2 linked regions of the Sus scrofa genome follow. The protein of the gene in region 1 binds, or shares a complex with, the protein of each later gene. Links are inferred from orthologs where the notes say so. Each region holds a gene or a part of one and is shown in the gene's direction. Other genes may lie near its edges.

Region 1 (3,511 bases):
TTTGTTCGTTCTCTGTACTATCACTCACTAACTTAGTTTATGGGTAAGCATCCTTAAGTAAGAAGATCGCAACTTGTTTTCTGTTAAGTGAGCTGTTCTTTAGACTCATTTTTAGTTGGGATTTAGAGTTCTTTGGAAGTCATACTATCTGTTTAAAATGTCTTTATTAGAGGTGATAGTTTTGCCTCAGATTTAGATGTCAATTGTTTGCTCATTCTCAGCTATCCTTCAGTGATTGCTGTTCTGTCAGTGTGACTTCTGTAGTTGATTATTAGTCTCATGATAGAAACATTTTGTTTGGAAGTTGCAGGTTTAGTTGTTGCAGAGATAGTCTAGTCTAACTAGATATTAATTTATCCTGAACTTTGCTTTCTTGGTGATTCATAATCTTACTTTTGTTTTTAGCTGGGAAAACTCTTCAGATATTTAACATTGAAATGAAAAGTAAAATGAAAGCCCATACCATGACTGATGATGTCACCTTCTGGAAATGGATCTCTTTGAATACCGTTGCTCTTGTTACGGATAATGCAGTTTATCATTGGAGTATGGAAGGAGAGTCTCAGCCAGTGAAAATGTTTGATCGTCATTCTAGCCTTGCAGGGTGCCAGATTATCAATTATCGTACTGATGCAAAGCAAAAGTGGTTACTTCTGACTGGCATATCTGCACAGGTAACATTTTTAGTTTCTAATAAAGAAAATGTCTAGAGAATTAATGTGCCCAGAATGTAGTTTATTTTGAAATTAGGTCTTCTTTGCAAATCTGGCTTATTTTAGAAGATGTTTTTCCCCTTTCTTTTCATTTTTAAAAACTAAAGGTTGCTGGCTTAATTCCGGTATACTAACGTATATTTCAGAGTATTCTTACCAGGTGTTCTTAGGTCTTATTTGCATATTGAGTGGATATTGAGTTCCTGTATGAATGATTTGGAATTTAGTGTGGATATTTACTGCAGAATGAGTATTCCTGTATCTTTTTTCTTTTTTTTTTTAAAGGTAATGTAAAGAGATGGTTGTATATAAGGCACATTTTAAACATTCATGTTAAGCTTTAATAAGATAATGTTTGCAGCTAAATTATGAATTAAGAGGTATCAAATCTACATTAAGAGACTAACCAGGAGTTGTAAATCTGTCTAAAGATAATAAAGCATTCCAGTTGTTACAGTAGTTGATGAATCTGGGAGTTGGTTCATTGGTTCCCCAAACTTTATTCTGTTTGATCTTTTGCAGCAAAATCGTGTGGTGGGAGCTATGCAGCTATATTCTGTAGATAGGAAAGTGTCTCAGCCCATTGAAGGACATGCAGCTAGCTTTGCACAGTTTAAGATGGAAGGAAATGCAGAAGAATCAACTTTATTTTGCTTTGCAGTACGGGGTCAGGCTGGAGGGAAGGTAAGTTTTGCCTTTGGAAATTATTTGAATGAGAAATTGTCTTCTGTCTTTCTGCTTCTAATTGATTTGTCATCTAGTTTCAAAGTCTTGTTAATTTTTTTACCATTGATTTGTGGTGACTTAATTTGTTTAAATTCTGTTTCAGTAGTGATGCTTGTCTGAAATGAATATTCCTTATTTTATACAATTTTTTTGTATCAGCTGTTTATACTAAGCTTTATTTTCATTGTCTTTACCAAAGGCCTTAACTCGATGCTTTTCACCTTTAACTGTGCTTAAGAATCAGTACCATGGAGTTCATTTCGGGCTCAGTGGTTAATGAACCCGACTAAGATCCATAAGGGTTCAGGTTCGATCCCTAGCTTCGCTCAGTGGGTTAAGGATCCAGTGTTGCCATGAGCTGTGGTTTAGGTTGTAGACTCGGCTTGGAGGTTTTATAGCTGTGGCTGTGGCGTAGGCTGGCAGCTAGAGCTTTGTTTCAGCCCCTAGCCTGGGAACCTCCACATGCCGTGGGTGCAGCCCTAAAAAACAAAACTTAAAAAAAAAAAAAAAAAGAATCAGTACCATGGCTAAGATGTACGTTTGTGTGCCTACTGTTTAGAGAGTGATTCAGTAAGTAGAGCTCATAATGTCTATTTTAACTGCTCTAGGTGACTAGGTAAAATGTGGACCGCAATTTCCGTACTATTGCCTTATTAAGTCAGAGCTTCTCAACCCTGACTATGCATTAAAATCACCTGGACAGGAGTTCTTTTCGTGGCTCAGTGGTTAGGAACCCAACTAGCAACCACGTGGTTGCGGGTTCGATCCCTGGCCTCGTTCAGTGGGTTAAGGATCTGGTGTTGTCATGTGCTGTGGTGTGTAGGTCGCAGACTCAGCTCAGATCCCGCGTTGCTGTGGCTATGGTGTAGGTTGGCAGCTACAGCTCGGATTGGACCCCAGCCTGGGAACCTCCACATTCTGCGAGTGCGGCCCCTAAAAACAAAATCACCTGGACACTTTTTTGGGGGGGGGCGGTTTGCCTTTTCTAGGGCCACTCCTGCGGCATATGGAGGTTCCCAGGCTAGGGGTCGAATCGGAGCTGTAGCCGCCAGCCTAAGCCAGAGCCGCAGCAACGTAGGATCCAAGCTGCGTCTGCGACCCACACCACAGCTCATGGCAACGCCGGATCGTTAACCCACTGAGCAAGGCCAGGGATCAAACCTGAAACCTCATGGTTCCTAGTCGGATTCGTTAACCACTGAACCATGACGGGAACTCCTCACCTGGACAAATTGAAGTACTTAGTATGTTAGGGTTTTTAGTTGCAGACAACAGAAACAAGGTCTGGTTGATTAGAGCATAAAAAATTTAATGAAAGGATAATGAATAGTTTACAATAGCCAGGAAGGCTTAGAACCAAACTTGGAAAATTGGAAGGATTAGGGGAGAATGTCAACAGCCAGGGCCCCAGCCACAAGTCCTGCTACAGAACTCTGAGGACCTGCTCTTGCTGTGATTGCAATGCTGGATGCCAGAGTTAACACTGCTGCCCCTGGAAGCTCAGTTTGACGTTCTCATTGCCATAGTAGAAGCTCTGAAGTCTTAATATTTTTCCATGCTAAGTAGTTTTTAAAAATCAAGAGAGAGATTGTTTAAAATATGGTAATTGATAGCCTCTGAGCTGGGAGGAGACATCTACACAGAGGTAGAATTCTGCCTACATTTCAGAGTAAGAATCCTCGAACCAAGTATTGCAACTACCAGCCTCTCAATACGACAAGGATAGAAAACACAATTCAGATGTTTAGATCTGAATTGAAGGAATTTAAACAAAAAGACAAATAGGTGTTAGAAATTAGATATATTACGACATAAAGCTGTGACTTTTTTGAAAACTCCTGGAAAAAACCTTGCATATCATTTTTATAGTATCTGAAAACCAGTTTATAAGTCTTAAGCCTACTTGATATAATGTGCTATATATTTTGTAGTCTGCCATGGTATTTTAGAGAAGACATAATTTTTTCAGTATGGCTACTCGTCCTAATTAAGGATGAGACCTTATGACTTTTTGGAACTGAATTATTTTTTTAGTCCATTCCTGACATGACTAAGCAAAATAAAAAACACTC
Region 2 (4,014 bases), on another chromosome or scaffold:
TGGAATCCCCTCCCTTTTTGACCCCTAGGAGTCTTACTGCACGCGTGTTAATTCGGGAGGTCCCCTTGACCCCAGCAGTGATTGAAGTGGTCATCTTATCTTTCTACTCCAGCAGAGCTCAGGTCCTGCAGTTAACTTTTTCCTTGAAGTGTCAAAGAGAAACAAGTCCCAGCTCTTCTCAGTCCAGGGGCCCATTTACCTCCTAACTCAATTACACTGAGAGAAAGAAGGCAGACAGGGAAGTGTACCTACTACTCCTATTCTTACGGTGATAGAAACCTGAACAGTGGTAGTCGAAGCGGTGGGGCGCTAGAGGGAGCTCTTGGGTGATGGAAATGCTTTTTATCCTGATTGGGTGGTGGTTACACTGTTGTTTACACTTAGCAAAACTCATCAAATCTTATACTAAAACCACTATGCTTTTCAATGCTTAAAGTTTTTACTTCTATAAAAAAAAGTATGAGGGAAAAAAGGCTGCTAACATTGAAAAGGAACATTAAAAGATGTAGAGAGAAATATGGAGTGTTAATAAGCCCTTTCTTGGAGTTCCCTTTGCAGCTCAGTGGAAATTAAACCGACTAGTATTCTTCCCTGGCCTCGCTCAGCGGGTTAAGGATCCGTTGGCATGAGCTTCATGCAGGTCGCAGACAAGTCTCAGATTCCACCCCACCCCACCCCCGCCCTCGCTGTGGCTGGGGTGCAGATCAGCAGCTATAGCTCCCATAGGGCCCAGAGCTCGGCAACCTCCATATACCACACCTGCGGCCTCCGCCCCCCTGGAAAAATAAAAAACAAACAAAAATACAACCCTTTCATTAAAGCGTTAAGCTTTTCTAAACGTTCATATTCGAATAATTCTTCTGGGCTTATATAATTTTAAAAAGATATTAAAAAGTCCTGCAAACTCTAAATTCCCTTTTCTTCTTCTGAGCTCCTTTGTCCTTTCTGATACCCGCGAGGCCCTAGGAGTTCCAGGGCGAATTCGGAGTAGCCCGGGGAAAACACGAGCCACTCCAGCTCTCCCACGGCCTCAGCGACCCCCACTGCTCAGCCCCTCAACTAGAGCTTATCCGGAAGCATCCATTGATTCCGCTCATGCCCTCCCTCCGAACCGTCCGTTCCCCTTTCAATCAATTCAAAAATCGCGGGAGCGAACCAATCGGAAGCCTCGTCGGAGGGAAGAGGCGGGCATTTTTACCGGAAGCATTGGTTAAAATACTTCCAATCAGAGGCTTGGTGCGGGAAGTTTGAATTTTGCTGAGTCTTGGGCTCAGGGCGTTTCTTCTTCAGAGGTGGCGGTGGTCTCTTAGGCCCGGAGAGTTTCTTCACTTTTAGTTTGGTCGAGGTTTCTGCGTTAAAATCTGCCTCAGGTAAGTGGACGCTGGAGAGTTGAAGGGAAGGCGCCGGTCCGCTTCTTTCTAGAAGGTCAGCACTGGCGGCTACGAGCTGGACGCGCGCGGCTCAGGGGAGGCGCCTCTTACGACGGTGTTACCTGTCTTTCCCAAGCTGATGTCACAGTCCTCCAGAAGAGTAAATATTTGTTCCTATTATCTCTGTAGCAGTCAACATTTTACCATCAGGGCGTAATTAGCATTTGGCCCGTCGTTATTCCTGTAGCTCCTTCCAGATTCTGTGACAACTAAAAATGCCTCAGTTGACAGCCTCTAAGCAACCAAGACTGAGGCATTCTAGGCTTTCTGGCTGGAAGAAACTCCAGTCAGCCAAAGACTGAACTTGGATGTACTGTGAAGAAGCCAGGCTCCCTGGTTTGGGATTCTAACTGCTACCTTTCAGCTGCGCTCATGTGAGCAGTTAATTTACCTCATCTGTATAACGGTAATTATACTAACTACCTTTTAGGGTTTATATGATAATTAAATATACTTTCAGTTCTGTATATGGTGCTATGCTGTATTTTAAAATAACTAATACATATTTTTTAAAATTTAAAAATCTTTCTTAGCAAATTGATATTTTCAGCAATTGGAAAATCTAATTGTAGAGTTCTTCATTTTTCAAAAAAAAAGAAGCACAGTCCTTTGTCACAGGAAATGACAATGTTATTAGCATCCAGGTCATTTAAAAAAAAAATATTCGTTGACTGCTTTAAAATCATGTAACATTTTAATTTGTTGCATTTCTTGTGCAATTTTTCTTTCAGGATTCCAGTGGACTTTCTTAGTTGTTGTTATTGAAGAGTATAGTGTGCCTATATCTTTTGAAACTTTCTAATGGCATATCCTCTGTTTTTGTTGTTGTTGTTTTTTAATCTGACAAGACTTTTCTTTGGAGACTCAGCCCTCATTCTCCAGTTAGGCTTGGTTGTTCTCTATACCAGCTGTATGGGTGATGCCTGTAGACTTTCCACTTTTCTTTATTCCTTTCCTCAGCTGGACCCATGGTTTCTTGGAACTCAGGCCATCGTCTTTCTTATTCTTTCTACCTATATAATAGGTATCTTGTGTGTTTGTTTTGGTTTTCGGCTTGAGAAGAAATGTCAGCCTTCCTGCATTCATCACCAGGAGAAAGTTAGGGAAACTGTTCTGTATACTGTCCTTCACTTTTTTTCCCTGTTTTCATCTTTACTTCATACTCTGTTTTGCATCATTCTCTCTGGTAAGCCTGGAACTTCTTGTTTATATTCCAGACCTTGGCTTCCTGGGCTTCGCCATCATCTGTCATGCAAGTTCTCATTCAGAACCCCAAAATAGGTTGTAGTATCTTTTTAAAATTTTTTTAATTTTTAATTTTTTTAATTAAAGAGTTTTTTTTTAGGGCCACATCCATGACATATGGAAGTTCCCAGGCTAGGGGACAAATCAGAGCTGCAGCTGCTGGCCTGCACCACAGCCACAGCAATATAAGATCTGAGCCGTGTCTGCGACCTGCAGCACAGCTCATGGCAATGCCCAGATCCTTAACCCACTGAGCAATGCCAGTGATCTAACCCGAATCCTCATGGATACTAGTTCACAGCGGGAACTCTGGGTTGTACTGTCTTTTGATAACCTCTTTCCCACTCTTCAGTCACATGTTTATTCTTTTTTGTATTTTAACATTTTTACTGATGTGGGATAGGATGTGAACTAGAATCTTAATTTTTTAAATAATAAAAATGAGATTCCATGTAAGTTGATTTTTCTCTCTTTTTCCTAATAGGATGTCTTCATCACATTTTGCCAGTCGACATAGAAAGGATTTAAGTACGGACATGATTAGAACTAAAATTGCTCATAGGAAATCATTGTCTCAGAAAGAAAACAGACATAAGGAATATGAACGAAATAGACACTTTGGTTTGAAAGATGTCAACATTCCAACCTTGGAAGGTAGAAGCATTCTTGAATTACATGAGACATCTCAAGAGCTTGTTCCAGAAAAGTCCGGTGTCAAGCCAAGTAAGTAAAGGTCTCTTGTAATTTTCAGTGCCTTGAAGAGTGAATAAAACTTGGTTTACTATCTGAGCTTAACAAAAACTCTGACCAGGAGTTCCCACTGCAGCACAACAGCATTGGTGGCATCTTTACAGTGCCAGGACACAGGTAAGCTCCCCATCTGGCAGAATGGGTTAAAGGATCCAGCGTTGCATCAGCTGCTGTGTAGGTTGCAACTGTGGCTCAGATATGATCCCTGGCCTGGGAACTCCATATGGCCCCAGGGCAAGTGGGGGTGGGGACAAAAAAGAAAAACAAACAAAAAACAAAACTCTGGCCAGAAGAATGGAAACTATTCTAAATAACTTGGTGTTTTCTACAGCTAAATACCGCCTATTCCGAGTAAAGGCTGTGACTGTCCCTTGAGCCATTCACCTATGGCATATTATAACACTTTTTAGCTTATACTGCCTTACAGGATTCCTAAAGTTCTTACTTCTAGAACTTGTGTAAGATAATTATTGACAAGACAAACTGACAAGGGACATAAAATTAGAACTGATTGAAGTACAAACAAAAGGATACTTTACCAATGGGGGCATTTCTTGGAAAAGCAAAGAATTAATCCTTGTAGTTTGGT

What was found.
Region 2: the proteins of CLTC (region 1) and DLGAP5 are in contact, whole or in part, in a crystal structure (PDB 7ZX4), measured with the Homo sapiens proteins. The link is inferred for Sus scrofa from reciprocal best matches to the Homo sapiens genes CLTC and DLGAP5. Residues at the interface, in NP_004850.1 of Homo sapiens: Val50, Arg64, Pro65, Ile66, Ser67, Ala68, Leu82, Lys83, Ala84, Thr87, Gln89, Phe91, Ile93, Lys96, Ser97, Lys98; in NP_055565.3 of Homo sapiens: Gly833, Asn834, Leu835, Ile836, Thr837, Phe838, Ser839, Pro840, Leu841.

The regions. Positions count from the first base shown.
Region 1 is NC_010454.4:35,873,380-35,876,890, forward strand, and holds part of CLTC (clathrin heavy chain 1), read left to right. Parts: intron 1-405; coding exon 406-674; intron 675-1,235; coding exon 1,236-1,397; intron 1,398-3,511. UniProt on the Homo sapiens protein: Clathrin is the major protein of the polyhedral coat of coated pits and vesicles. Two different adapter protein complexes link the clathrin lattice either to the plasma membrane or to the trans-Golgi network.
Region 2 is NC_010443.5:184,547,224-184,551,237, reverse strand, and holds the start of DLGAP5 (disks large-associated protein 5), read left to right. Parts: upstream 1-1,209; 5' UTR 1,210-1,370; intron 1,371-3,159; 5' UTR 3,160-3,160; coding exon 3,161-3,398; intron 3,399-4,014. UniProt on the Homo sapiens protein: Potential cell cycle regulator that may play a role in carcinogenesis of cancer cells. Mitotic phosphoprotein regulated by the ubiquitin-proteasome pathway.